Alligator mississippiensis: one gene and its partners. The protein of the gene in region 1 purifies or fractionates together with the protein of each later gene. This does not show direct contact. Links are inferred from orthologs where the notes say so. Each region holds a gene or a part of one and is shown in the gene's direction. Other genes may lie near its edges.

What was found.
Region 2: the proteins of SRC (region 1) and PXN purify together in Homo sapiens (co-immunoprecipitation; 4 studies listed by BioGRID and IntAct, with this or other methods). This does not show direct contact. The link is inferred for Alligator mississippiensis from reciprocal best matches to the Homo sapiens genes SRC and PXN.
Region 3: the proteins of SRC (region 1) and MET purify together in Homo sapiens (co-immunoprecipitation; 4 studies listed by BioGRID and IntAct, with this or other methods). This does not show direct contact. The link is inferred for Alligator mississippiensis from reciprocal best matches to the Homo sapiens genes SRC and MET.
Region 4: the proteins of SRC (region 1) and CDC37 purify together in Homo sapiens (affinity purification with mass spectrometry; 3 studies listed by BioGRID and IntAct, with this or other methods). This does not show direct contact. The link is inferred for Alligator mississippiensis from reciprocal best matches to the Homo sapiens genes SRC and CDC37.

Annotation. Positions count from the first base shown.
Region 1 is NC_081832.1:17,296,010-17,302,958, reverse strand, and holds the start of SRC (proto-oncogene tyrosine-protein kinase Src), read left to right. Parts: upstream 1-3,943; 5' UTR 3,944-3,989; coding exon 3,990-4,063; intron 4,064-6,949. UniProt on the Homo sapiens protein: Non-receptor protein tyrosine kinase which is activated following engagement of many different classes of cellular receptors including immune response receptors, integrins and other adhesion receptors, receptor protein tyrosine kinases, G protein-coupled receptors as well as cytokine receptors.
Region 2 is NC_081833.1:21,181,628-21,188,861, forward strand, and holds the start of PXN (paxillin), read left to right. Parts: upstream 1-4,220; 5' UTR 4,221-4,361; coding exon 4,362-4,374; intron 4,375-4,385; exon of another isoform or gene 4,386-4,922; intron 4,923-5,015; exon of another isoform or gene 5,016-5,401; intron 5,402-5,735; exon of another isoform or gene 5,736-7,234. UniProt on the Homo sapiens protein: Cytoskeletal protein involved in actin-membrane attachment at sites of cell adhesion to the extracellular matrix (focal adhesion). Recruits other proteins such as TRIM15 to focal adhesion.
Region 3 is NC_081827.1:49,356,372-49,364,339, reverse strand, and holds the start of MET (hepatocyte growth factor receptor), read left to right. Parts: upstream 1-4,955; 5' UTR 4,956-5,117; intron 5,118-7,968. UniProt on the Homo sapiens protein: Receptor tyrosine kinase that transduces signals from the extracellular matrix into the cytoplasm by binding to hepatocyte growth factor/HGF ligand. Regulates many physiological processes including proliferation, scattering, morphogenesis and survival.
Region 4 is NC_081831.1:22,389,142-22,396,899, reverse strand, and holds the start of CDC37 (hsp90 co-chaperone Cdc37), read left to right. Parts: upstream 1-4,742; 5' UTR 4,743-4,812; coding exon 4,813-4,914; intron 4,915-7,758. UniProt on the Homo sapiens protein: Co-chaperone that binds to numerous kinases and promotes their interaction with the Hsp90 complex, resulting in stabilization and promotion of their activity. Inhibits HSP90AA1 ATPase activity.

The DNA of each region.
Region 1 (6,949 bases):
CTGGGGCAGATGGAGATAGGGGAAAAGATAAGCGAGTCTAGGGGATTTTGGCTAGACTGGGTGACCTATGTTTAAGTGCCTGCTCTGAATCATGAAGAGCAAGAGACCTGAATTGAGGTCTCTTGCCTCCCAGCTGCATGTCCTACACCTGTGCTCTTCTTGGTTAGTTTTGGACCAATATGTTTCTCTGAACCAGCTTCCTCCTCATCTCCCTACAACAGAATTTTTTTCAGTAATATTTTCATCCAGTTCTAGAGGTCAGCTGAGGCTTAGCAGGTCTGGGAGTGGTCAGTATGGGGATTCATAAAGTGCTTTGTGTTCCTCTCAAAGATGCTATTGCAAGTGTAAAGTGTCTGCTGGGTTTTTTATGTAGCACTTTTTTTAGCGCTCCTCCATTCCTCCTGGTATCCCCAACAGGGGTGAAGGTTAGTGTAGTAATAAATGGAAGGCAGAATTTCAGCATGGACAGTTGCTTAGAGGCATGACACATGGGGAAATGGAGAGAAGTGACTGGGTGCATGTTGTGTCTGGATACTGGTGGCACTTCTGACGAGGCTAACGATGGATTCGCCTCTGGAAGGAAAACAGGGCTAGGTTGCTCCCAAGTGGTGGCAGTATCTGAGCATGCTCAATCAATGGGATCCAAGTGGTGCAAGTCAGCTTTAGCGAATCAAAATACACCAACCAAACACTCCAAAATCCTCTGCTGGGCTGTGTACTTTGCTCTCGGCCATGCTATCCCTAAGCTTTCCTTCCCTGCCGGAGGGGACCCCCAGCTGCCAGGGCTACAGGGCCAGGGACCCAGGTCCCTGATGTGGGCAGGGTGCCCTGCTGCCCACCTTCAGGGCCTCTGCAGCCCAGTGGGTGCACCCCAGCACTGCAGGACAGAGTGGGGCCGCAGAGGGATCTCTGCTGCTGCGAGCTCCATGCTGCCCTGGCAACGAGTCCCCTGTATGCGTGGCAACAGTGAGGGGCTCCACCGCCTCCTGCTGCTACCACATGCACAGGGAGCATGCACCAGGGCAGCGCGGAGCTCACAGTGGTAAGCCGCTTTCCTGCATGGCCTCACTCTGCCCTGCAGTGCTGGGTCTCACCTGTTGGGCTGCAGAGGCCCCGGGGAGGGCAGCAGGGCAGGAGTCTGAGCCTGCAGTGGGCAGCCTGCTCCCACTCCTGCCCCATGAACAGGTCTGGGGATGCGGGTCCCTTTGGCCCTCTGGAGTGCACGCAATGGTGGGGAACCGTCCCCCTCTGCCTCCCATATGAGCTGCCCACAGTCCCATCCCACTCCCTGCCAGGGCCCTGCAGCTATGTATTGCATCCTCAGGCTCCAAGCCCCATGCACTGCCTAGCTGGGCTGCAGCCCTAGCCCTGCCCAACTCCCTTCCTCCCAATGGGGGCCTCAATCTCCCCCCTTCACACTTACCTGTGGGACCTGCTCTCCAGGCTGCCTGGGCCCATGTGCATATACATGCACAGGATGCCCTCTCCTAGCCCTTTACAAGCTATAACAATGCCAGCCTGCAGAGAGCTCTTTGCAAAACTGCAAAATCCATGGGTTCCTCTGGTGAAGAGGGAAATACGTGGTTTTCTCTGTTTTTGGGGGGGGGGGGGGTTGTTTTTTTGTTTTTCCCTTGGGGAAACAAAACTCAGATCCCTGGTCATGACATCCCTGCTCACTTAGTACAACATGGAGCTTGTGTGTGAACCCACTGAGATGGAACTTCTCTCCTTCCTAAAGAGAACTGGCAGTTCTGGGTACTAGGGAGGCCAGCTTGGTTCTCTCGGGGCATAGTTCCTCATGCATTGTAGTAACTGCGTTCTGTCGGAGGCAGAGAGACTTTCAGACATAAGCTTGATCAATAGCTCTGGGCTGCCACCAACCATCCTCCCCATCTTTTCCTTCTTGATTCAGTGAAGTGGAGCAGAGAATCATCCCGCTCCTCACACATGAGGGATCAGGAGGTGGATGTTAGCTAGCTGCCCTCTACTTCAAGGAGCTGCCAAGGTAACAAGCCTGCAGAAGGTGGGAGTGAAAAGAGGCTTGGGACTTTAGATTAAGGCAGTCTTTCCCTCAGGGTGGCTGAGGGCAAGACTAGGGGAACAAAGGCACCAGCCTGATCTCCATCTGGAGTGCAGGGAACTATGAGCTTGGCTGGGAGGGAGACCCAGTGGACCTGTCTGCAGCAAACAGAGAGCAGTGTGTTGAAGACCCTGCGCTAACCTTTCACCCCCTGTATCTTTCAGGATCCTGAGGACCTAAGCTGAATTCGCCTGCTGCTGCCCCACCCCTTGAAAAGCTGTAGCTGGACAGAGGTGGGTATGATGCTTCTACTTAGTTGGGCAGAGGTGAAGGGGGCATTAAACTTCAACCATTTAACATACAACCAGCTGTAACGAGGGCGAGGCTAACCCCTTCATTTAAAGGTGTTGAGATCCCAAGTCTCAGCCCAGCTACCAGGGAGTGTGTGGACCTGAAGCAATTGACGGAGCACCACACTTTGCTGTGGGTGGGAAGTCTCTTTTGTTGTCATCTTTGTCGGCATCTCCACAGCAGACACCACCAGCTGTGTTTAAACTGTTTGTGATTTCTTGTTCTATCTGGGGTGTAGGGGACAGAGTTGAGGCCTAACGGCTCAGTACACTCATAACCTCCAACCAGTCGCTTATGATTATTCCCTTCAGCTGAAACAGTAAGAGCTCCTGCAGGCCTGAACGTGCCTTGTGTACTAATCCAGCTGCAGAAAAGCCTGCCTTATTATGCCATGTCTAATCAGTCAGAAATGAGTGTTTTGGAATGCTGGCCACTTTCCATCGCACTGCACTTCACCTTGGGGGGGTGGAGGGAGCCCTATTGTGGTGAACATTCTTTGCAATCCTAATCTCTGATAAACCAGGTGTCAACAGGGATGACAGATCCCTCCCTCTCTCCCCATAATCAAATGCATCCTCTATTGCTGCATGCTTTAAACTTGCAGGGAGTAGGGGTGGTTTGATTATGAGAAAAAATGAGATTGGGGAGGGGATAGAAAATGTTATCATAAACTGTTTCTGGTCACTGTCCAGGGAAGTAATCCCACTCTTCTCTCTGCCCCATCTTGGTTCTCTTGCTCTGCTTGAAAAGTTTGCCATTCCTGGTGGGGGCAGGCTCAAGCGCATTGCACCATTCCAGGCACACTGCTTCTGGAAGTGGCATAGCTTCACTGCAATAGTGCTGCTGTGGAGCTAATAATTCTGCCTACATGCTAATTACCCTGCAGTGCATTTTCAGTGGAGATGTGCCCATGGGTGACCACTTTACAGTTTGCGTAAAGTTTGGAACTTGAGCTTAGCCTGTAAGCTCCTTGGGGCTGGAGCTGGTTGTTTGTGCCTCTGGGGCCCTGGTCCATGAGTGGAACTCAGCGTTACCAACACAAATGCACAGTAATGGCTGTAGGGCTGAGAAGGAGTCTGGTTTTGAAGCATCTATCTTTTGCACCCAGGATCTTGGTACACTTTCAGTTACCAGGCTGGGTTTTCCCTCCTTGTGTGTTGCGACCAGGGCCTGGAAAGCTGGGCCAGGAGCCCTGGCAGTGCTGGCTCCTTCCTGAAGTAGCAGCAGTACCTGCATCAAAGGGTTGTGCCTGGCACTGCTCTGGCTCTGCTGTGACTCGGGGGGGCGCCTAGCCACTCCCCAGGGAGGCTATATCCTGCTGGTGCTAGCATTGTCTGCTTTCATCTGGTAACTTCCCAGAAGCTTGTTTAACAGGGCTGAAAGAGATGGAGCTAGAGTGGGTAGGTAGGAGTTGGCCTGGCTGCTATCTAATGGGCACTGGATTTACCTGCTGTGTTTTCCCCTTCCTCTTTTCTTCTGTGGCTCATTCTTTCTCCCTCCTCCTGGTAGAGCCACTGATCTCTCTCTCTCTCTTTCAGAGACCTTCGCACACAGCACATTCCTGATATGTCCTCACTGCTTCTCTCAAAGCACATTCCTTCCTGGTACTACGGAATAGATGTTGACCCTTTCAGGCTTTTATCAGGAGCTCCTTCTAGGGCTGCTTTCACAATACTGCTTCAGTCTGTGCAGGTAGATTTTGGAATTAAGTTGTTTATCACATTTAACCTTTTCATCATCAGTGCAGCTGCCTAGCTGCTGTGACAACTGCCAAAAATGTGGCGATTTTCCTGGCCAGGATCAGCTCTCTTTGAACCACCTATAACCAGTCCCTTGTCCTTCTTAAAGATCTGCTGGAGCAGCGTTTCTCAGTCTGTGGATCATGATCCACAGTTCACAATAATATATGAAAGAGTCACAAACTTTAAAAAATGGATCTACACACTTTAAAAATGGATTCTCCTTTAAAGAAGAAAAAAGGGGGAATTTGTGGCTTTTCCCTTGCAGGCTGGTAGAGTTTCAACCTTCAAGGGGCTGTTTGGGGAGGCCCCCCCATACCTGACATGTTTGGGGGCTGGGGGTCAGGGGCAGCAGGTTGTTGAGCACGGGACACTGGATCTGGACTGGCCATTGATGTTTACAAATGGTTCCTGGTACAAAAAAGGTTAAGAGCTACTGTGCTAGAGAAAGCTGCCTGCTGGGTGACCTGAAGTGACTCATCCTTTGCATAAGGAGTGGGGTGGGGAGGGATAGAGTTACAAGCTGGCAGCATTGCTGAGAGGAGCACCTTGCTGGAGCACCAGCAGTCACTTTGCCCACAAAGGATAGAGCTACGCAGACAACAAAGGCAAGCTAGCATTGATCAGGCTCCTATGGGTAATGATGGCAGTGAAGAGGGGGCAACACAGGCCTGATGGGGCCATTGAGCACATACTTGATCTGCCAGCTCACGCTGATGTTGCTATATCTTCACTGCTACTTGAACTAGCAATATAAAGGTGTTGTGGGCTGGCATAGCTGTACTGCAGTTGTACCTTCATCTGCTATATAGACAACAGAAGCCCGAGGGAGCTCAGTGGGGCTTCTGCTGGTATTGCTTGGACCTGAGCCATTCACTTGTGTGGGGAAGGGAGTCTCTTTTATCCAGAGGCCTTTTCCCTCTCTCCCCAAATTTCTGTGACCCTGACAAAGGGGATTTTAGACTTAACGATGTGTGAACCTGTTGTTCAGCCCTACTTCTAGTTTAGGCTCCCTATGGTAGGTCATGGGTTTGTATTAGCAGGGGTGGGTTGTGTTGAGGCAGCGCAGAAAGGTGCTGACTTGTAACCAGAGACAGCACAGAGCTTGGAAAGTGTCAAGTCTATGTTGAGCAAAGGAAGGGTGACTACCTTGGAGGACTGAGGTACATGTCTGTTCCCTCCACCAGCCCCATACCTTCTGAGACTTCCCTCACTCTTATCCTCCATCCTGGCTTTTTATTTTTGCCTCTGTACATTGTGCTCAATAGCCCTGTATTCCTTTCTGCCTCTGCACTGCTCTCTCTTGTCCCAGCAGAACAGTACAGTGCAAGCCAGTACCCTGCAGCACTTCCAAGGTTTTTGTATTCTGTTTTTGCAGCCAAAGCCCTAGATGTCTGCGTAAGGGAGATGCCAAATTGGGCCTTGTCAGAGCAGTGTACTTCCTGTGATTCAGCACAAAGCTAATGGATCCTTCTTAAAGTGGTAAACCCAGGGAAGGACAGGGGTTGCCACGGGTCACTACAGCATAAACGGGGATCTTCCCCTATGCCAAGTATGGAGCCCTCCCTCTAGTGACTACTTGTGCCATATAGGCTCTTGGCCTGTACTGACCCTGGCTTGGAGCTCGTGTACCTCCATGATGCATATTGTGCTGTGACCTTCTTCATGCTACCTTAAGGAACTTCATGGTGCACTGCGTGGTAGAGCCAGACCTGAATATTGGCTTTTGCCCAGCTGAGGCCTGCAACCTGGACTGATGCCATGGAACAGTGGCTTGCAGCGGATGGGGGAGGAGAAAGTCAAGGACTTCTGTCTCCCAGTTAGGGCCTTTGCTGGACAGAGTCTTCTGTGAGAGACCCTGCCGGGACTGATGGGACCAAAAGGCCTTGAGTGACATAAATGACCATCAAGATTGCCATGGCAACCACAGTCCCTTCTCCCTTGCTTCGACCTGCCAATGAAAGGCTGGGACTTGTCTTGTGACCTGCAGCATCTTCAGCTGCATGGAGTTCCTCACATTTTATAGGACTGGTCCTTGTGGGTGCCGAGTATAGCCGGAATGGGGCTGTGATGGAGTGGAATTAGGCACAAACGCGTACTGGTTGAATTGAAAAGAACTTTACTTACAAACTGACGTACAGGGACTTGCGACGATGCACACAGTGTAGGCACTAGCAAAATCACCGATGTTTTCTGAGCATGCAGGGTATGGGGTACGTCGGGACGGTCGTCGAAGGGGAGTGGTTGGTGGTTGATCAGGCCCCAATTTTGCTCCAAGGTACACGAGGAACTAGTTCCCAACGTACACGCGGAGTTCTCCGACTTGGGCGGAAACTACCCAAGCTTTTATACGGCTAGTGAGCCAATTGCTAGCCGCCGGTATGAATAATTTACAATGAGCCAATCGGTAGCCTGCATCCAAATGGTGCAACTGCTAGTTTTGGCGGGAGCTGATCACTGCACCAAGGCTTTTCCCGCCGTAGCGAGGCATCCCTTGCACTGAGTACTCGCATCATGCTAAGAATTCTGCTGTGTCGAGGCACTTTTAATTACTAAGTACAGACAGTCCTATTGTGTGAAGAGCATCTTTCAGTGGTGGTGAAAATAAGCTGGACTAGTTAGCGTCATTCTGGATGGCAAGGAGCACCTCATCTCCAGGTACCTATGGAGAGACAATTAACTGGGCTATGGCCCTCATCACTGCATGCAGGCTCCCCCAGGAGACTGAGCCAAAGGCATCAGAACTAACTGTGCCTTCTGGGACCTGGGATTAGAATGTATATTTTGAGCTGGGTAAGGTTTTTTGTTGTGTTTTTTTTTTTGGGGGGGGTGGAACTGT
Region 2 (7,234 bases), on another chromosome or scaffold:
TTTTTGAGGGCAACAGATGTGGGGCACTGAATCTTAAAGTAACATTAGTTGTTTCTGCCTGAAATGAAGAAACCTGCACTATTATTCTGTAGGCTGTACTTGCTCTGAAAGAGATGACTTCATTCCCCAGCACTGCTCATCTGGCACATTTCCCCAGCAGTGCAGTCACTTTTTTCTGTAAGGAGATGGCTCAATGCAAAGTTAACTCATGTCATTTCCCCCTCCCACCTTGCCAGCTTGTTGAGAGGATGTCCTCTAGCTCAGTGTTTCTCAGCCTTTTTTGTACCAGGACCCATCTGTAAACATTGATGGCCAGTCCTGACCCAGTGCCCCTCACTCCTGACCCACTGTCCCCAGGCCCCAGCTCCCCAGTGTGTGGGGCAGCAGGGGTGGGGGGGTGGTAAGAAGCCCTTTGTAGGCTGGAAGTCTTACAGCCTGCAAGAGAAAAGCCACAGTTTCCCATGTTTTACTTCTTTAGAGGAGAATCCATTTTTTAAGTTTGTTTCTGACCCTTTTGTATAGTCTTGCAACCCACTTTTGGGTTGTGACCCACAGTTTGAGAAACGCTGCAGCTCACCATGCTGATCCAATGGAGTTTTGCACCGTAACTGGAGAACTGTAGTAACTAGTGCTAAGAGCTACATACAAACAGGACTTATGTGAATTGCAAAGTGATATCTGGCTTAGAAGCAGGGAACAGTTGGATATCAAGATAATCCAACCTGTGGGGCATGGAATCTCCATCCTTAGAGGTTTTTAAGACCTGGGTAGACAAAGCCTAGGCTGGGATGATATAGCTGGGGATGGTCCATCTGCTTTGTGCAGGTAGTTGGACTAGATTAGTATTTTTCAACCTGTGGGTTGTGACCTAAAAGTGGGTTGCAAGAATATATGCAAGGGTTGCAAACAAACTTTAGAAATGGAAAAAGAAACTTAAAAAATGGATTCTCCTTTAAAGGAGAAAAATGTAGGAAACCGTGGCTTTTCCCTTGAAGGCTAGAAGAGTTCCAGCCTGCAAGGGGCTGCTTGGGACCCACACTGCCCCTCCCTGCCCCACACATTCATGCCAGCCCCACACACTGAGGGGCTGGGACCTGGGGATGGGGGGCCAGTGGGTTAGGAGCGAGGGGCACTGGGGTGGGACTGGCCATTGATGTTTATAAAAGGGTCCTGGTACAAAAAAGGCTGAGAACCAATGGACTAGATGACCTCTTGAGGTCCTTTCCAAGCCTAATTTTCTATGGTTCTATTATGACTCTATGTCCATAGGGTGCATCTACACGTGCTGATTTAAGCTGCATTAGCTATTTTTAAGGTGCATTAAGGGCACAGATCTACATGTGTGGGCCCTTACTGTGCCTTAAAAATGGCAATTTTAGGCTATTCATGCCTAAATTTGATTCCTGCAAAAACAGAGATCAAATTTAGGCACAAATAGATAAAGTGCCCTAATGAATATGTAAGCACCCTAAGGTGCATTAATGCAGTATATGTCAATTGACTTGGAACTCACTTTAGTCTCGAGTCAGTCCTCACGCCACGTTAATGTGCCTTAGCACATGCTTGTAGACACACACCTAAATTGCCTTGATGCTCATTAGGCAAATGCATATTCATAGATTCATAGAAGTAGGGTCAAAACGGACCTTGTAGATCATCAAAACTGACCCCCTACCCTGGGCAGGAGAGAAAACTGGGCTCAAATGACCCCAGCCAGGTAGACGTCAAACCTCCTCTTAAAGACCCCCAGGGTAGGAGCCAGCACCACTTCCCTTGGAAGCTGGTTCCAGATCCTAGCTGCCTATTAAGTTTAGGCGTGCATAGAAGCACATGTAGACACGCCCTATGACCTCGGGGGAAGACAAGGGCGGGAGGTTTCAAAAGACTGTGTTCTCCAGAGGTTGCCAGGTAGACTGGAGTAAAATGTGTCAGCAATTTATAACAATGTCCTCCCACACAGTGACCTGCCCCTGTGTCATATCCCTCCCTTTGCCCCTGGACTTCCGGTCATTCTCTCCCTCCTTCCTGTCGTTATTGCTCTGTTCTTGCTTTGCCTCACATAATGTTTCTTCATCTTTCCTCTTGGCATTCTGCCGAGAGTCAAACACAAGGTCAGTGAGTGTACATGTGCCAGGTATTCATGCTTGGGGTGAGCACTGTGTGCAGTACAGTTCCCAGAGCATCTGGAATGGGGGCTGCTGGCAGCATGCATCCTGGGTTCTGCTCATGGGGCTGGTCTGGGTCAGTCGAGACCCAGGGGCAACACCAGGGGCTGAATAACAGGACACTGTGGGCTGTGTGCTTGGTACGGACTGTGGAGATATTTTGCTTTCCTGTGTAGCAGAAAGGTGTGGCCCTCTACCGGGACCTCTTGAGCGAAAAGGGACACTTGGCCCTTGGTTCAAAGACCCCCTGGGAGGCAGAGCAGACAGGGAGAATGAAGAGGACAACGACACAACTGGACCTGGAGACAATGAGGAAGACAGCATCAGAATCATCAGCAGCGGAAGTGACAGTGCCGTCAACAGTGACAAGGACAGGGAATGAACTGAGAATGTAAACTCCAAACCAGCAGATTGGACAAAAGGACTGCAGTTGGGTTAGGGAAGGGCAATGGGTCGGTGTGCGGGGGCGCACGGGAGTGGGTGCATTTATTGTAATGGGTGCACAGCTTCTTAATGTGGTTTAAGGTGTGATGGAAAGTTTTATACTAGATGATGTGTATGTGTGTGTATATATATATATATATATATATATATATATATATAAAAGAAGTCTATTGACAACATTTCACAGAAGCAGGATGCTGGCTGCCGTGGTTCCCCTGCTTTACCTGTAGTTAGCAGGTTAGGGTGTTAGGTCTATGTTGTGTCAGGGTTGAGGGTAGTCTGATGTAGTTTAAATTACGGTTGTATGGGATGGTTTGGACAGGGATGATCCTGCCTCAGGCAGGGGGTTGGACTGGCTGACCTCTGGAGGTCCCTTCTAGCTCTACTTCTCTATGACTAGCTGCACCCAAGTGATGCTCGTCTGTGTCTGTGCTACAGAGTGGTGCCTGACTATCGTGAGGGCCAACCTTTTCAGCAGATGTGACCCAAATTAAGCTCCACACCCTCCCTTAGTGCCATTCTGATCCCCCTCCCCTGCCTGATCTGCTGTTCTGCTTTTTACTCCTGCCCTGTGCTGTACATCTTAATGGATCTCCCCATCTGTGCTGTTGTCCTTACAACACTTCCTGTTATGGGCATACCCTAATTCTCCTTCTTAATAGCACTGTTTGCTACAGGACTGATATATTTGACAGTAAATCTGCCTTCATCTGTTTCAACTGAGTGCTTAAAAATTAGCTTGGCTTAGCCTACCTGGGTGTCCTTGTTGTGGGACACAGGCTTCTTGCTTTACAATGTATTATATTTGGTACTAAACTCTGGACTGCTAAATGTCTCTATGAATTTAAAGATAACAGTTGCAAACTCGGCTTCTCTACAAATGCAACACGGCATCCTTTTTTGTTCCAAGCCTGATGCAGATCAGGGAAGGTGCCTGTTGTTCGCTGGAAGCGATCTGTTGATTCCAGACAGCGGCTGAGGCAGGGCAGGGGAAGAAAACCTCTGCTGGTGAATTTAGACTTTCCTTGCAGCAAAACTCCCCTTCTGTGTTTGGACTTCTCTATTCCAGGGAGCATTTAAGCACGTGACACCAGTGGTAGTCGACTGGCAGAGAGCGGCAAGGGAACAATACCCGCACGTGGCGTTTCCAGTGCGCGCTGTCTCGCTTACTGGGAACTCCCCCCTTAACCAAGTCCATGATGTGCCCAAACCTGTAGCTTGATTGATATTTGCACCAAGCAACATCCATACACACCGCGCTGCCTCGGCTGGATTCAGGGTAAGGCCTGAGCAGCCAGGAGCAGGGCGGGTATTTCCGTGCCCCTCTCGTGCTAGTGCTCGCTCTGCCCTTTCTAGTGTCTCAGACCCTGCTCGCCCCCGCGTCCCCAGGGCCCGATCCCGGCTCCGGGCCGAACCGCCCCCGGCCCCGCCAGCCTCGGGAGACGCGGCCTCGTGCTCCGGACAGCCCGCAGGGCCCGGCCGCCTCCTCCCGCCGCCTGCGGGCGCGGCGCTCGCGTGGGCCGGGCCTGAGGTACGCGGGGCGCCGGGGTGGGCCTCGCGGAGGTGCCTGGGGCCGCCCCGCCGTGAGGGAGGAGCCGGGCGGCCGCCGGCAGGGGGCAGCGCCGGCCCCGCGCAGCAGCCCGCCCGGGAGTCGCCCGGCAGCGGAGCGGAGCGGAGCAGAGCAGAGCAGAGCAGGGGCGGCGGCGGCCGAAGTTGTGCGGCGGGAGCGGAGCGGAGTGGAGCGGCCCTGCCATGGACGATCTGGGTGAGTCCGGCCCGGCCCGGCCCGGCCGCGCCGCAGCCTCCTCCCGCGCGCGGCCCCGGCCCCGGCCCCGGCCGAGCTGCTCCCCGCGGGCCCGGCCCGGATCCGCTCCGGGAGTCTCGCAGCGGCCGGGGCTCGTGGGCGGCCCCCGGGGGCCTGCTCCAGCCCCGGGGCGCGGGGCTCTGCGCGCTTCGGCTTCCCCGCCTGGGGCCCCGGGGGAGGCCGCCCCGTGCTCTGCGCTTTCTTCCCCGGCCCGAGGACGTGGTTCTGCTCCGGCCCGGCCCGGCACTGCCCGGCGGGACTCCCCTGGCGGCTGCTCGCCCGCAGACAGCTCGGGCCGCGCCGGGCCGGGCCGGTGCGGAGCCGGCGATGGCCTCACACCGTGGGAGCTGAGCGGTGCCAGCTGCAATTGTTGCATTCCTCAGATTCACCGAGGCGGCGGCGGCGGGGGGGCTCTGCCAACTGACCTGTGCTTTACTTCAGCAGTTGCTTATTTCCCCCCCTTCATCAGTGGGAGGATTTAAGGTGAACTGCAAAGGTGGTCTGGAAAGGTGGGCTCCTGTCCTCTCTGCACTGCTTTACCATGTGTAGAGAAGCCACCCCTTCCCCCCAAGTTTAGTTTAGTTTTATTATTTGTTTCTTACCTTAGGGGGATGGATGCCTGATGTTTTGAGTTTCTTCTCTGCTTGTTCTGGAAGACTTCTTAGAGGTCTTGAGGCTTTTTCATGCTTTGGTTTAACTAGTCCTTTCTGGTTAGATGTGAAGCATGTAGAGCACAAGCAGCAACAAAGCAGGAGTTTTAAGCAGTTTGAATAAAAATCTCTTCCTATCTGAGCAGCACCGGTTTCACTCTTGTGTTACTGGCAACCAGCTCTCAGTTTGTCCATAGAGTCTTGCAGGAAGAGGCAAGGTCTGAATATTTTATGGAAGGAAAAACAAACAAACAGAAAAGGGAAATACTTCTTTCCTCTTAATAACTTTTCCTGCCTACAGACTGTTTCATCAAGAAACAACCCAGCTCCAAGGCTAGTTGCTTTCTCCTTTGCAGAGCAATGGTAGTGTCAAAGTCTTAGCCTTGGGTCATATACAGGGGAGGGGCAGTGTGTTGAGTGGTGCAAGCCAAATTCAGGCTCCACTGAAGTGAGTGCAGTTACACGCTGGATGAATTTGGCCCTATATCTTTTAAACTTTTTGATCTAATGAAAAAAGAATGACCAGCAAGAGTGCAGCTTTCCTGCTTCTGGGACTGGAGATCTCAAAAGCTGAACACAGCAGGTGAAGGGACTTGATTTGGATTGGTTTTTAGGGACTGGGTAATCTAGAACAGGTAAAGCTTTGCTATTGCTTTTCCTTTTCCTCTCCAGCATCGGAGAAATCTGTTTTGCAGCGTGCAGGAAACGCTGGTGAAGAGTTCTGCAGATGGCACTTGTCCGTCCCAGCAAGTGGGAAGCCTGCGTGTTCTTTGTGTGAGACCGTATTGGGGGAAGGGTGAGGAGTTTGAGCAGTTAGCAGATCTGGACACACATCTCGTCTGGATCTTCCAAGATGGGGACATGCTTGAATGCTGATTAAGAATGACAGTGAACCAGTTTCTTTTAAAAATATTATCCACTAGTGTGTAAACTGCAATTACAGTCTGAAAAGGAGGGAAAGCCCTAATTGCAGGATCACCTCCTCTTCTGCCTCTAGAATACTAGAGAACAATGCAGTGCGATGTACAGCAGGAAAGGATGACATGGGCACTCCCAGCATGAGAACCACCAAATACTCATACTTGTGATTATATTAGATGGCAGACTAAGACACTGAAGAGAGCGCTTGTGGTGCTCTGTTGGGTCCGACCAGGTATCCATATAACCAGCTTACTAGAATCTATCACACTCACAATAAAGAAACCTGACTTATTTCCTAGGTAGTTACAGTATTGGACCTGCCATCTGGGGATAGTCTTACATTTGCAGTTCTTCAGTCAATTGGAGATGTAGCTTGATTAGGTGTCCTTGTCTTTCCTTATAGCGTGGCAGAAGCAAGCTCTGTGTAGGAATTGCTCTTCCTTCTATAATAAAATATAATTTTTACTAGACAGTGAACTTCATTAAAAAAACCAAACAAACTTTGTATGATACTGTTTTAACCTCTCAATTACTTTTTGTTCGGGATGATGTGTGGTGCTTTTCACTTAGTTTGGACCAGGGGTGTGCAACCTTCTGGCCCCGCAGGCTGCCTAGGTGTATGGTAATGGGGCTAGTTTGTGGACTAAATGAATCCCATGGGTGAGATCAGTCCATGGACCTGAGCCAGGGTCAGCAGACAGGGTCATCTGCAGGTGCAGTCTGGCACACCCATCTGGCTCCACGCACTGGATCTGACTGTGTATTGATACCATGCGCTGGCCTGACTCCATGTGCCTGATCTGGTCATGAAGTGGATTTGGCTATGGAGTGACTCTGAATTCAGTGCATGGGACTGTCATCTGGCCCGCAGGGGAGCCACAGCAGTTAATGTTGCCATCTCTCCCCTGCCACCAAATTTCCAAACTCATGGAGAGCCCTGTGGACTGGAGGTTGAGCACCAGTGATTTAGACAAAAAAAGTCTGTTTCACTGAATTCTTTGTCTCTGGTTCTTGTGGACTACACATCATTACAAAATTTGGATTTTCAAGTATTGAGGTAGATGTTAGTACCCATAAACTGTCTTCATTGACAGGATGGAGCTGCAGACTTTGCAAACCTCTACTAGATTTTGTGCTTTTTAATTATTTTAGTAAGTCACATTTGAAAATTGTTTTTTTTTTTTAAGAGCTCTTCTTTAGTGACTTTAAAACTTTCTGGTTCTGTGCTGTTTTTTGGGATTGCAAAATGC
Region 3 (7,968 bases), on another chromosome or scaffold:
AAATGCATCTGGCCCTGTGGTGTCATCTGAAAGGGGTGAGGGGGCAACCATAGCCAGATTAGTGGCATGGAGCTGGTCTGCAGGTCACACCAGACCCACAAACCAGCCATGCATTCCAGGTCCAGAGCTGCTGCTGTATAGCTCTGGAGCTGCTGCTGCCACTGGGCTGTGCAGTACAGCTCTGGACCCCCAGAGCTGCCACTGCAGGACTCTACAAAAAGCACGGCCCTAGAGCACACAGCCACTATGTACCCATACACTATGTACCACTCCGCTGCTCCAGGATGCCAGCTGGAACGGACGACCTGTATAGCATGTGGCACCATCCAGTGCACCCAGCATGTTGCCTGTGGGTCACTCTGAACACCCATGGGCAGCACCGGGGGGCTGGATGATACAGCCCCAGGGGCTAGATCTGGCCTGCAAATTATATATTTGACACCCCTGCCAAAGGCATGAGATGTACTGAAGGCTCAGGATGGCAACACCTCTCAAAGGGTGGGCCCAAAGTGGGTACAGTTTGATGGTTGCACTCCTGCTCCCCCACACCACCTTTCAGACTACAACATGGGAGTAGCAGCTGGGGACTTTTTTTTAAGTCCCCAAAGCAGGTAAGAATTCCCTCCCCCTTTCCTTTCCATGGTCAGCTGCATGTCCCTTCCTCTCCCACCCCACATCTACCACTGCTGCTGTCCCCAGCTACCCTGGGAGTGGGGTGAACTCCAGAGCAGCTTTTGCCCCTCTCCAGCTAGGCTGTTGTAAAACTAGGCTCATTCCAGGGCAATAGTGGTGGGGGTGGGTTCCTCCTCCCTGCCTGATTCCCCCTGGAGTGTTCCACACCAGCCTGGGAACAGGCTGGGCGGGGGTGGGGGGGACGACACCACCTGCCACTGCTGCTGCTGTCCATAGCTGAGCCCAGATCCCCATTCAGCCTGGCTCTGGAGCTTCCCCCACCCCTGTGAGAGCCAAGGACATGGAAAGCAGCAGCAGCAAGCAGGGGGTGGGAAGGGTGGGGAGGGGATGTGCCACTGAACATGGAGGGGAAGGAAAAAGGAAAAAAAAAAATTTTAAATGTTTAAGTCCCCAGCTTATGCTTCTGTCCATGGTTTCCCTGTCCCAGGGCATCCTGGGAGCAGGGATGCAGCCATTCTAACAGTGTTAATCAATGGGCTTGCATGCCCTTTACAAAATCCCAGATCCACCCATGCCTCTGACCAAAGGAAATATTAGGCACCATAATAACTTTAGTTTTAATAACTGGCAAAAATGTATATGCCTCAGACACTTGCACCTAGTCAGAGTTTTTATAGATTGCTTTGAACTTAGGTGCTTACACCCATCTAAAATGCTCTTTAGGTATGTAAATTTATTTTTTGGAGTTGATTCTAAATAATTGCACAAGGGTGAGAGAGTGAAGTTTTTCAGACATCTGTCTGAAGGAGCTTCAGTATTATATTTTCTAATACAAATATTCACAGTGGGCTTATTCTTATAATAAGTTTTTTTTAAACTACCAACTGGGGCAAAAAGGGCCAAGATCCACAACAGTATTTAGGTGCTTAACCTCCACTTAATTCTGCCAGCTGCACTCATATTAATTCTTCACTGCGAGAGTGTCATTTGGTGTAAATAAGGGTAGATGAATGTGTCTGTTACATGACACTAGTAATTCACAGAAATACGGAATTTTGCATTTTCATTCTCCACCCTTGACACTGAAGAGATCAGCTCTAAAGCTTTCTTTTGTAAATCATTACTGTAAGGCTAAGATCTTGTTCTTTAGACAGTTCTTGGACTTGTTCATTCAACGTCTATATTGAAACAAGTAATGGTGGGAGGCAGATGTCCAGTTCTCTCTACAGTGCATTCCAGTTGTATTTGAACAGACTGCTCAGATTTTTCTGCCTCTTTTTTGAACTGTTTTGCCATTGCAGCCAACTTCTAAAATGCAGAACGCTTATTATATCTGTGCCAGCCTTCCTTTCAAAGTGCAAAGTACCAGCTCAAATTAGGCAGAGGAAGTAGGTGAGAAGAAGTCAGGAGAAGAACTTGAAGACAAATAGAAAGCAAGCCAGATCCTGCTTCACCAATTCTCTGCTCCTGAAAAGTGCCTCAGCCTCCTGCTAAGGTGTCATGTCTATCACCTTAGGAACAAAAACATATCTGCGGATTGTTAAGCCCTACTGTACTGTCTCATACTGCTAACCTAAAATAGCTTGGCATCAGCATGGTCAAAATTGAAAGGAAACATCTGTTTCTCCTTTTTATGTTGGGGACAATCCGTTTGTTAACCTTAGAATAGCACAGACTGTAACACTGATAACAGTTCTACTGCAGGCTATTCAGTCAAAGCAGGTGCATCAGCCACTAAAGAACAGACTAGAATGAATCATTTGTTTCTTGACAGGGGCTATCTTTACATACAAATGATCAGTTGAGCTCTTCTTTAGTTTTTCTTTTGAGAAATAATAAAGTATCCAAATCTCATGTAGCTGTTCATACTTATGTACTAATTGAACTGGATAATGACTACCCAGGAATGGGGGCACAAGGGCAGTTGTTCAGGAAAGCTGGAGGACAACGTTTAATTGCAGTGCAGGAGAACACATTCATTACTCTCACGCAGAAGGTGAAGTCCTCTCTCAACATGTTCTCTCCTGGAAGCAGCGTGTCTACCTGTATGCTCTAAAGGCAACTGTCTCTAAGGCTTGGCACATATACAGTATGCTCAACCTCCATGTTCTCCTTGGAAGGCTGTTCTTTGAACCAATAAAACAGTCACAAGTGTGTATTAGGATTTTCAGTACTAGCAATAATAACGCATCGCCTTTCCTTACAGTATTGGATTCTAAGCCAAAGCCCATTGAAACAAATAGAAGGATTCCTACTGACCTCAAAACAACGTTCAACAATTTAATCAAACTATTTTATGGCTTGCTCATTTTATAGATTCTGTGTTTTGGGGAGGCCAAGCCTGTTTTTATTTTCATTTTGTACATCTCCCAGTACATCATCAGCACTTTCAAATAAGAAGACAGTAAATAAAACTACTCTTTTAAAAATGCAGTAGCTATTGGATGAGTAGTACACTCTTCTGATTAAAATAATCAGAATATTCTTTTATGGCATTTATTTGAAGTGCAAGATATTATAAAGATTTCGCAAAGTAAGCAGATAAAATAGAAAAGGGCAACATACTGCTTCCAGAGCTATTTCTTTTTGTCAGTGAATTATTTTCCAACTAGGTTAGATGTCTCTACTTCTAATGCCAGGAAGTTCATATGAGACAGGCAAAAAACACATTGTGAAAGTGCTGCTGATGCATATAGTGGTAGGTTGGCTGGCTGCATTTGGAAAGAAGTGTTTTCTAAGCTTTATTTTTGTATGTACAAAAGTTAGTGTGACAACTCAGGCTCAGAAAAAAAATCTACTCTTTAAAAATTACTTTTCCCCACAAAAATGTCTATTTTAAAAGTCGAGGGTCCCGTTCCCCACCCCCCAGTGGCAATTCATGAAGTGCAGCAGCATCCTCCTTGTCCCACTCCTCCAGAGCTCCTACTGAGTTTAGTAGCACAATTAAAGAGAATAAACCTGGGGGGCAAAATTAAAAAGTGATAGGTTTATATTATAACATGTAAAAGGTGAGTGGCTGTGTCCAGTGATTGCTAATGGGATATGGAGTCTTTCCATTAAAATCTGGTTTTGATCAGTAGCTGTCCAAAATTGTTACTAAGAACAATTATCCCTGGAGCTGAGACACTGATTCTGCTACAGACTCCTTGTGTAACCTTGTGTGAGTGTTTTAATCCCTTGATTAGTGCCTCAATTCCCCACCTGTAAAATGGAGACAACACTTGCCTTCTGGTTGGCTTGCATGACTAAGTCCTAAACTATAAGAACTGCCATTTACTGAGTCAGACCATAGGTCCATCTTGTCCACTATCCTGTGTCACACAGACCTTCATTCCCATCTCTTTTTGTCCTTGACTTGTCCCATGGTGTCAGTGATGGGCCCTTAGTGGACCCCTCATCAAGGGAGGAGGGAGAGGGGGCGCCCTATAGCTCTATATGGTGGCTTTGGCCCACGTTGGGGAATGGCACATGGAAAGCCTGTCACACACCAGCTGAGAGTGGATGGAAGGTGACCTGGGTATCACCAGGGTTTTCCCCCTTGTTCCTCTCTCACTTGCAGCCTCCGGCATGTCTCAGGATCCCATCCCAGTGGCCTGGGCACAGGGGCTGTCTGACAGCCTGAGGCGATTCCAAGTCTGCTCCTGGAGGCAGCCCTAGATCAGCATTTCTCATCCCAGGGGTCACAACCCAGAAGTGGGTCACGAGAATATAGGAAAGGGGTGCCAATGAACTTTAAAAATAAGTTCTCTTTTAGAGAAGAAACACGTGGGAAACCGCAGCTTTTCCCTTGCAGGCTGAAAGGGTTCCAGCTTGCAAGGGGCTCCTTGGGGTCCCCCCTATCCCACACACCGGGGCCTGGGGCAGGGACTGGCCGCGGCTGTTTACAAATGGGTCTGTCCTGCTCCAGACAAGGTTGAGAAGCGCTGCTGTCGACGGCAGCTGGCCCCAGTGCGCGCCGCGCCCGGCCAGCAGAGTCGTGCTGCACGGGGGCGAGAAGCCTGTTGTAGCTGCGGGGCTGGGTGTGGGGGCAGCGACGGCTGCTCCAGGCCGCCCGGCTCTCGCTCGGCGGCGGCGGCTGCCACCTGCTCGGCAGAGGGCAGACGCCGCAGCCCGGAGCCCGCTCCCTTAGCGCGGGTTCGAGTCCCCGCGGCGCTGCCACCCGCCCTTCCACCCCCGCCACCTGGGGGCTCGGGGCGCCGCCCTTTGGGCAGCCGGCCGGGCTGGGGCGGGGCGGGGCGGGACGGGGCGGGCTGCCCCGGGCTGCAGCGCCGCGGTGAGTCAGCGGCAGGTCAGCCTCAGGCGGGCGGGGTCGGGGGAGCGGTGAGGCGCCGCCGGGAGCCGCCGCAGAGCAGCGCGCGGAGGGGAGCGGAGCGCTCGCAGGTGCCCGGCGCCCCCGCCTCCTCCCCGCGCCAGCCCGGGCGACGGGGCCAGATGCTGCGGCTCCAGCTGCGGGGCGGGCGCTGAGCAGCTGCTCCGGCGCCGAGGTATGCGCGGGAGCTGGAGCGGGGCCGGGAGCTGCGCCCGACGGCAGGGGCGGGAGGGCGGCCAGGCGCGGCGCGGCGCGGCGGTCCGGGAGCGGGCCGGGCTCGCGCCCCACGTGCAGCCCTAGCATCGCCGCGGCGGCGCTCGCAGCCTGCCTGCAGCCCCGAGCCCGCTCCCGACCGCGCCGAGAAGACTGGCACTTGCCGCGCTCGGGGCCACGTGGGGCGGGACGGGCCGGGGCTTGGGGGTCAGCGGGTGCACTCGGATCCGAGCCCCCTTCCCAGTGCTCGGAGTGTGGGCTTGGGGCATCGAGACAGGGCTTCTCCTGTTCCAGGCATAGCAATGAATTTCGGAGGCTCGTCTTTCATCCGCTGTGGGTGGGGCAGGGGCGAGCTGCCTGTCCTCCCCACCCGCCGCTAGGGCAGGGAGAGGGGCAGGTGGGCGAGCGCAGGGCTGCGGTTGGGGTTGGGGCAGGCAGTAGCCGGCTGTGGCCTGATCCTGTGTAGGGGCTGGAGCTGAGCCACACAGCAGCCCCCTGCCCTCACCACCCTCCAACGTGATTCGAAGACGAGGTCTCTGGGATGTTCAGTGAGGAAAAGACCTCGTCTTAGAGTTGGGTAAATACAGTATTGTTTGCCTTTGTGCTTATCTTGGTATTTGAGCACTGGGAAAATTGTCTGTGCTGCTGGGACAGAAAGGCACAGCAGACTCAGAGGCTTCACGGCTGTTTTGCCAGTTGTTTGTCAAACACATCTTGAGCGTTCGGGTTTAAGGTGAGGATCAAATATTCCAGTTGGTGACAGTCGATCTGGTTTCAGTCACATGACCTCTGTGGTGTATAGTCCAAATTATTTTGCAGATCTCAGGCAATTATGATTTTGCCATTATACTGCAATTTTTCCTCTCCTCCCCCCCCCACCCCCCGAGCATTGGACAAGTGTGCCAGCTTCAGCACGAAGTTAGATGGCCCATGCTTTATAAATATTAATGCATGTCACAGAAAGTGTAAGTCTTTAGGTTAGTCTTTGTCCCTCCTAGAATACTGATTCGTATTTGAATAACCCAGCACTTAAGTAACATCTGGGCAATTCTTTGGAAGCTGTTACATTTGAAATGGAAAGGAATTTCTTCAAGAAATTGTAGTGTATGCCCCTCCCCTCTGCCCATAGGCATCTTTAAATAGTGTAGTACTTCATTTGTTTTTGATACATTTCATCCAAAAAGTCCTTTTGCATTGCTAGCAAGTAGAAAATAACTGGGGCTCATTTTTGAGACCTTTAAAGCATGGAAACAGACTCAGGCAAAATAAAATATTCCCATGCCTCTCTAAGAGCTGGTTAGAGCTTTACAGCTAATATTTCCATTACATTATCCAGTAAAGAACAAAGAAATTCCCATTTTGCAAGAGTTGTGCAGAATTCATCTATTATTATTTTGCACCCATTACCTCCCTAAACCCCCTGTAGCCACATAAAATCCTTTACCAGTCTTAACATATTTAGCTCTTTCTTCCAATGATACAATATATGTAAAACAATTCCTCTTACATTCACATCAGTCTATTTCAAAAGGTCAGGGAAGTGCTGTTCCTTTTTTTGGGTCTTTAATCTTTTTGGATTAGTGTGTGTGTGTTTGTTTTTCAGAATTATGACCATCACAAAACAAAGCTGCTGCTGTTCTTGTTAATGGGTTGCTTTATGAAGGTGCAGTGGAGCCAGTGTATGGGTTAAAGTTGATGACAGTGCAATGTACAGCCATATGGGAAACACTGAGTGCAGTGAAAAGTAATTAAGGGCTAGGTCAGTTAGAAACCCAGAACTCAGCACAGGTTCACTGAAGGGTTTGTAAACAAAAAGCTGAATTAGCAAACTTTGTTTGCTCTCCCATAAGCCCTCCACAAGCCCCTAATATCTTCCTTCCCCTGTACTGGTCCTGAGCCCCCTCTCTCCTTTGGGATCTTTTGGAGTTTGCCTGATGACCTCTTTTTTATTGGCTCCAGGGCTACTTCTGTGGTCTAGGTAGTGCCTCACGGGCTGTCTTATCTGAGAGGAGGGTCTGTTGGCCCCCAGATGTGTGTATTGGGGGTTTGGGAGATCATCACCCCCCCATCCAAATGGCAACAGCACAACTATACATGGTCCAGCCTCTCCTGGCACCCAAAATGTATCTTGGAACTTCCTGTGTGATTACATGTATGAAACTTAACCAGTAACTGGGGAAGCCTTTCAGGAGCCTTTTGTGATTGACACCGCTCTGGGTAGGGTCACAAACCTGAGAGGAAGAAATCCATACTTCAAGATACCTTATGAATCCCAGTTATGTGGCATGTTGGTAGGTAGGAGATGCTGTGAGGATGTGAAAGGGAGTAGATATTTACAGGGGTATTTGATGTCTGGCACTTCAGACAAGCCTATAGTAGTTTCTAGTTTGTACATTATCCCCCTCACCCCAACTCTCTTGCTTGTGTTTGTGAAACAGGCTTTCCAACACCTGTGGTCACTTCCCCTCTTGGCTGTATTTGAACCAGTGACACGGAGTTAGAGTCACAGTCCATTATGGGCCAACAGCCCAGTCCTGTGCATCTGGTCTCCAATGGCTTAAGTCTGCAATTGTGTCTTTGTACCTCTTCACACAATTTAAAGATTTACTAGCCATGTTCTTGCCATTTTCCCAATCTACGTGTAATTCTCCACTGCCACATTCTCCATTGGAGTGTATTACAACTCCACACTGGACACAGTGCATGACATCTATCCACATTGCCTGTCCATGTCTCCTTACACAGTCATATCCTGAGGGTCCTGTTGTGTCGGACTTCCCTTCTAAAATGTTTGTATTTTTCTTAGCAGTGGT
Region 4 (7,758 bases), on another chromosome or scaffold:
GCCACAGGGGACTCCCCAAGCAGTGCCTGCAGTGTGGGGTCTATGTGATATGGCGGGTTTGTGTCAGGGAACACCTGACTAGCATATGTGAGCTGCCTGCTCCCTGGCTGGCTCTGTGGATGCCCGGGTGTAGCAGTAGGATGGTGGGGCAGTGTGTGTGTGTGTGGGGGGGGGGGGGCAGACCTAGGACATGCATCTTCCTCTGGGGATGGTCTGAGGTGCCACACGGGGGGTACCAGAGAGGCTGGAGGCCCGAGGCCCCCATGAGCCTGCCTGCTCCCCACCCATGCCACTGACCCATAGCCATCCAGGCTGGGCCCCATCAGGCAAGCATGGGACCCCCATGAAGGGAAACTGAGGCAGGAGCAGCAGGTGGAGGTAGGAAGACCTTCCTCCCAACTGGGGCCGAGTCTTACCCCACTGGGGTGATGTTAGGGTGCGGCGTTAACCCTTTTCACCCCCGAGGGAGGGGGCCCACCCAAGGCCCCAACGACCTCAGACCCGCATCTCCCCTGCTCCGGGCCGGATTTTGGCCCCAGCCTGGCCTCCGCAGACGGCTGGCACCGCGTGGGGGGAGCCGGGCAGGGACCGAGGTGGTGGTCGCCTCCATCCTGTGCCGCCTCCCCGCGGAGTTGGAGTCCCTGCCTTTTCCAGCGCTAGGGCCGGAGGGACCTGGAGCCGGAGCCGGGCTCCCCCTATACAGCCGCCTGCGGATGCCAGACTCGCAGGCGCTGCCGCAGCATCGAACCCCGGAGCAGCCCCCCAGCGGCCCCGGGCGGGGGGAGGCTGCGGTCCGCCCCCAGGACCCCCCGCCCTCGGCTCTGCCCCTTACCTCGCCGGGCCGGGGCGCCGCGCACCGCCCTCCCATCCAGGCACCGCCGCGGTGCCCTGGATGCCTGGGTTCCCCGCGCGCGCGTGTGTGCGCGTGTGTGCCCCGGACGCCTGGGTTCCCCGGGTATGCGTGCGCGCGTGTGTGTGTGTTTGTCTGCGTGCGTGCGTGCCCCGGACGCCCGGGTTCCCCCGGGAGGGGACGTGTGTGTCCCGGACGCCTGGGTTCCCGGGGGTGGGGGGTCTGTCTCGGACGCCTGGGTTGCGTGTGTGTGAGCATGTCCCGGACGCCTGGGTTCCCCGGGGGTGTGTGTGCCCGTGCCCCGGACGCCAGGGTTCCCAGCGAGTGCTGGGCGCTAGGAGCAGCGGGCAGCGGCCAGAGCGTGTGAACGGAGCCGCCGGCGCTGGTTCCCCGGGGCGGGGGAGCGGGGGCAGGACCGTCTCCCCGAGGCGCACAGCGGGTTGCTCTACGCCCAGCCCGGCGCCCCTCACAGCCCGGCCCTGCCTGCACCCCCCTCCATTCCTGCCTCTCTCACCCGAGGTCGCTCCCTTCTTCCCCTCGCAGCTTGGGGGCCGGGTCTGGGTTCTGGCTGCATCTCTTCCTCCCCCGGGGCTCCTCGACATCTTGAGTGTCACTTAGAGCAGCATCGGGGCTGTTCTAACTCATCCTCCCCCAGTTCCCAGGGACAGGATGGGGGCTGGGATCGAGCTCTCATGGCCACTAGCCCCATGCTGGCTGGGGCTTGGGGGTCCCAGGCCTGGGTTTCTGAAGGAAAGCCCTTCTGTCTTTCCCTGCCTCTTCCCCCTACTTTGGAAGGGGGTTTGGGGGCTGCCACTTACTTCCTGCCTGAGAGCCAGCTGCAGCCAGGGCAGTTGTCCCATGGGGCAACATGTCAAGGGCAGTCAAGCTTGCACCACACCCTGGACCATGGTGGGGGGAGGGGAAATCAATGGAAGCAGAAATACTAACACCCTCCAGCCCCAGGGCCCTGGGGATGCCCACTGGGGTGAAGAGCAGATGCTCCTCCCAGCCATGGGGCTGCATGGACCATGCAAACTTGGGGAGACTCCCCACCAGACCAGCAGCCCACATAGTACAGCTGCCAGACACAGACCAGGCTGGGAAATTGAGGCTCTGGGATTGGGGGGGCAGGCAGGGGGGTCACCCCACAGGGCAGGGGCAAAACCCAGGCATCCTGCCTCCCCATCTGATTCTCCACTCTCTCCCACGGCCTTGTGATCAGGTCACAGAGCTGTCAACAGGAGGCCTGCCCTGGTAGTACCTTGATGGTGCCAGGCCCTGCACAGGCCCTGCAAGAGGCAGGCCATACCAAGGTCTGTGGGGTCCCTGGCAGAGACACCGTGCTGCAGCAGCCCTGCTGCATCTGGATCCAGCCTGGGGGAGGGAAAGGCCACCCAATAGGTCACACCTGCAACCTGCAGGAGTCAGGGGATGTGGCCACAGCCATGCAGGGAGGCAGTGGCAGGTCTGAACTGCCCCACCCCCACCAATTCAGCCAGGCCTCAGTGGCTGCAGGGTAGTGCTCACCACTGGCAGGCCTTGTTCCAGTCCTTTTGGCTCCCCATGGCCTCTGCCATATGCTCCTGCCACCTGCCTGCTCCCCTAGGCTCTGTCCTGGCCATGCCAGGCCTTTGCCTTGGCACACAGCCCATGCACCACAGCATGGCCTGGCACCAGCCTTTGCTAGCAGCAGGACAGACACCAGCTCAGCTGCAGCCCTGCACTGGCCTGGCTGTGCTGGGGAAGGTCTGGAATGGCAAAAAACAGGAGCCTGGGGAAGGGGGATCTGCCAGCATTTGTTGCCTGGTCTGCAGATCCTTGAAACAGCACAAAGTTCTGCTGGGGTTCGGGGGAGGGGGAAGGAAGCATGATAGGAAGTGACCAAGTGCAGGGGGCCACTGCTGCAATGGAGGGGGTATAGATCTGTCTGGGGGGCACTGAGGGCCACTGCAGCATCACCCTGGGCAGGAAGATCCCCTAGCTTGGCCCTGGCTGCTGCTCTGGATGATGGTACTGGGGATGTGGGATTTGCAGGCCTCCCTTGCTCCTCCACGTGGCTGCCTGGGAGACAGTTAAGAGCTCTGGAAGCATCTCTAAGAGCAGCCTGGCCAGGAAGAGCAGGTCAGGGAGTGAGGTCTCATCACAGGGCCAGGGCTAGAGAGCTTTGATCCAGGGGGTTTGGGAGCGTGGAATGAAGCAGGGACTCAGCATTGCTGGCTTTGGACCCAACTGGAAGTCCATGCTGCCCACCACCCTGACATGCAGCTACCTCTGGTGCAGGAGGAATCTCCTCCAGCTCCTTTCACCCATTCTGTGTCCTATATTCCATCGCAGTCACAGGCCATGAAGGGATCCATCTTCAGGCCTTGGTTCTGAGATATCATTGCATCAAGGCCCACTGAGCCCAAGCATGGAGCTGGGGAGTCTTCAAAAGGAGTTTTCAAAAGGAGGGGTCTTCTTTACCCTGGGGGTCTTCAAAAGGAGGCTAGATAATCACCAAGCCGGGGTCATTTGACCCCAGCATTCTTTCCTGCCCATGGCAGGGGGGTGGACTTGATGATCTGCTCAGGTCCCTTCCGACCTTACCTAATATGAAACTATAAGTGGAAGGAGTTTCCAGGCTGTGCAGAGCTGGTACAAGGCTGGAATTCCAAGCAACAGCTCCGTGGCCGTGGGCAGCGCTGTTTGCAGCCTTGATGAAGCGATGACAGTCCTGGCATGGCTAAACCTACACTCCTTACTGAGGGGCTGGTGGGGCAGAGAACTGGGTGACCTGCAGCTGCGGGGACCAAGCTAGTGGGGAAAACATTGGGAATCTGCTGGGGGTTGCATCCAGCCTCTGGAGGTGGGGAGACAGAATTCAAACACCACCAAAGAGACTCAGGACCTGGGCACAGGTGTTTTCCTGGAGTCTGAGCCATTCCTAGTCAGTCCCCCCAGCTTTGGGGGCTGCTGACAGCCAGGGGGGAATCTATATCTGGCTGAGATCCTTCAGCAGGGAACATGTGTACTTATGTGTTTGCACTCATGTTTCCGCCCTGCCAGCGGCTACAAGGCTCAGAGCAACCCCACAACCAATGCAATGGATGGGACCAGTCCTGAGTCCATGCAAGGTTCTGGCCATGGATGCAAGTGGGGAGGGGTTGGCCCTTCCCAACCCCTATGGTTGCAGGCACCAGGTTTCCCTCATGGCAGGCGCCAGTAGCTGTGAGGGGGTGAGGCCAGGAGGCTTTCCCATGTCCAGCCTTGAAGGATCCAGCCCCGAGCTCCTGGCTTGCAGTTGCTAGGTATGCCTCAAAGTAGCACAGACCAGGCCCTTCATGGCCAGCCCCAGCACCAAAGCAGGATGAGGGCTGGGGGGCTGTAAGCACCAAAATAGGGGGGAGGAGGGCACACTGACCTTTCCTCTCCCCCACTATGTGCATGGCAGGAGGGGTGGGCGGGGCAATCCCTTGCCCCACCCCACTTGTGCATAGCTCAGGGGGTCCTTCCCCTCCTCGAGGGTAGCAGTGGGGGGTCCCCTCCCCCTCCCCGCATGTGTCCTGGAGAGGTATCCCAGCATGTGCCTCATCCGGGGACTCTCCTCCCTCTCCCACCACGTTAGACACATGGAAGGAAGCCCTCCCATCACACTGTACTTGAGGTGTGTACACCTTTAATGCCCACGCCATCTTGAGTTGGGACGACGATGCAAGCACACTAAGCAACTGGGAGGGGAGGGATGATGCTCCTCTTGGCCGCCCGCATGCGCGGCAAAGGGAGGCACCCGCTCCCCACAGGGCAGACAAGGTGGGCAGCGGCGCGCGTGCGTAGTGGCGCCGGGGAAGCCAAAACGGGCTGCTGAACGGAAAGCGGGGAGGGCTGGCGGAAGTGATGAGAGGTCGGGCGGAAGTGGGCGTGCGCGGTGCTGGAGGGTTCCAGAAGGGCCCGGCGGGAGCGGCGCGGGCCGGCCCTGCGCAACCATGGTGGACTATAGCGTGTGGGACCATATCGAGGTGTCGGACGATGAGGATGAGACGCACCCCAACATCGACACCGCCAGTCTCTTCCGATGGCGGCACCAGGTGCGTGCAGAGCTCCCCCCGCCCCCCATGGTTGCCTGCATGGCAACCACCTCCCCCGCACCAGGCCTTGGGGGGCTTCCCCAGGAGCCCTACCCCTTCTCCATGGAACCCCCGTCCCGGGCCTGGCCTTGGGGAGATCCTCTGTCTCCTCCTTCAGGAGCCCTCCCTTAGCTCCATGGAATCCCCCTGGGAGGTCTGTCTGCATGGGAGCCAGCCTCCATCCCGCCCCCGCCTAGGGGTCACATTCTGTCCCCATAGGAACAAGCCTCTCCCCCAGGGACAAGTCTTTGAGGAGACCCATTTCCACGGAAACTAGGCCCGGGGGGCAGCCTTGTAGAGACTCTGTAGGTGTCCCCCACACCTCATCCTTGTCCTCAGGGTTCCCCCCTACTTCTTCCCCATGGGATCCCCATCCCAACAGACACCCCCCTGCTCTGCTCCTCTGGTGCTGTGCTCTGCACTGTCCCACGTGCTCCTCTCTGTGGGCCTGGCTCCCCTAAGAACCCCTGACCCCAAGATTGTGTTTCTAGCTCAGGACAGGCCTGGTCTTCCTGGGGCTGCAGATGCACAGCCCCAAGGAAACTCCAGGATCTGTGCCCTTGTGTCAGTGCTGTGACTGAGTTGCTCCTGCCCTGAGGGTGCTGCCTGATTCAGCGCCCTACCCCCTGCATGGCTCATCTTGCCTGGTTTGGGAGGCAGCCTGTCCACTTTACCCTTGCAGAGTCCTTGGCTAGGGTCTTTGCCTGTGCTGTCAGCCAGCAAACCTGGAATGTCTCTCACTGCTCAATTGAGTTGCTACCATCTCTGTCATTTCCATCTCCCCTCCAGCCCGGCCCGGCCCAGCACAAATGAATGGTGCCAGCTGGCAGTCCTGGCTGGGGCCTGGCTATCCTGGCTGACTGACCATTGCAGTTAGCTGTGAAAAGGGCCAACGCTGCTCTTATGTGGTCTGTCTTTGGCCCCTGAGCTCCTCAGTCTCACAGCGTCAGTCCTTGCAGCCCCATGCAGTTGGGCAGTGCTGCCATCCCATTGTGCAGGTGGGAGCTGTGAGGCTGAGGAACTTGGCTTGTGTCGCAGAGCGCATCTCTGGCATAGTGGGGGATGGCATCAGCCTCCCATGTGCCCAGCCCAGGAAAGTAGTGGTGCCCCGAGCCCTGGCTGTGGCCCGGCCCCATTGGACTGCATGCAGCAGTGCGTGCTCAGGGGTGTCTCTTGGACCTCTCCCCCACCCAAGGATATGCCTCACTATTAGTGCCTCACTATTAGTGCCTCTCTGGTGACCCCTCTTTTCCCAGCTGCTTTGTAAGATCTCGAGGAAAAGGGCATTGGTCGTGACTGAGCACAGGAGTGAGCCTCTGAATCCAAACTCCGTAGGCCTTAAATGCTGGAGGCTGCAAGCAAGAGAGGAACAGTGGGGAAAACCCCTGTTCATTCTTCTTTCTAGCATCTGCTCTCCGTTGCAGTGTGACATAGGCCTATTTGTCACCTTTAAGAACATGGGCCTAGCTCACCAAGTGTTTTATTAGCCTCCCTCAGGTGTGGAGGCTACAGGAAAAGGTGCCAATAGGTTCCATGGACACATGGTAAAACAACAGGGATGGGAGTGTTATATGTTCTTACGATGTGGAGCCTGAGTTACAGGTAAAGACCCATAGTACAGGCAGGGAGACTGAAGTACAAGGGAGGAGAGAGACCAGTGCGCGACTGGTCTGTGACTGCCTCTGTGTATCTGCAGTTGTAGACACTTGGTGTCTGTCCCCCTCTGGCCTCTTCTCCATGGCTCAGACATGTTCCTTGATACTAGAGGCTGCTGGGGTCAATGCTGGCAGAGGGGGAGGTTGGGGCTGTAGATAACTGCAACTGTACAAAGGAATAGTGGAACTGGGCACTTGGGAGCCCAAATGAGCTAAGCGGGAGCTTGGAAAACTGATGCTTCCCCTGGACAAGGCCTGAGTCCTTGCAGTGGGTCAGTGGCAGCTCCTGGAAGAGAACCCCAAGCTTCCTGTGCGGTACAGGGCTCAGTCCTTGCTGAGGGAAGTGGCTTAACACAGCACCAGGAATATCCCAGGTGAGCTCTGTTGTGACAAACCAGGGATCTTTCTCTAGGTGGAGACCTGTTCTTTAGCTGGTAACCCTATCTCTCTCCCCAGCTGCTAGCATTTGGGAACCAGCAGGAAAGAGACTTAATTTTTCAAGATTCCACTAGCCTCTGCAAGAGGGTTAGATCAGAGATGGCTAAGCTGTGGCATGGGGCAGATCAGGGAGGATACAGGCAGCGCAGCAGCAGGTGGGGCAGGGAGTAGATCAGGAAGGGGAAGGGGATCACAGTGGCACTTGGGGAGGGCGTAGGGGTGACGCATGGCATGCCTGCCAAGGAGCTTGGCCCCCATAGCTGTAGATACTGCTGTTAGCTTGAGATATTAATGTGAGCTTACTAGCTGCAGTCCAGCCTGGGGGTTGGGGTGTAGTGAGGCACTGGGCCAAGTCCAGGTATTTTTAACAGGTCCCAGTTTAGCAGATGACCTCCAACGGCAGCATCCCACGTGCCCTAGGGACTAACAGAGCCTCATGCTTGGGCCAGGTCACTGCAGAGGTTGTGTTTCACATGTGTTGTCCTGGGTGGAGCTGTGTCCAGGGCTGGGAACACACCCCGTTGGCTGAGGTAGTTCCAGCCTCAGCAGTGATATGCACCAGAGCTGAAGCTGTGGCACATGACTGTTGTGGTAGAGCACTCCCAGTGGCCTTGGGTGGCAGGCAGAAGCTTTGGCCTTACACCCCCTCCAGGAGCTCCCAAAGCAGAAAATGCTGCCCTGAGCTCCAGACATGACTCAACCTGTGCTCTGC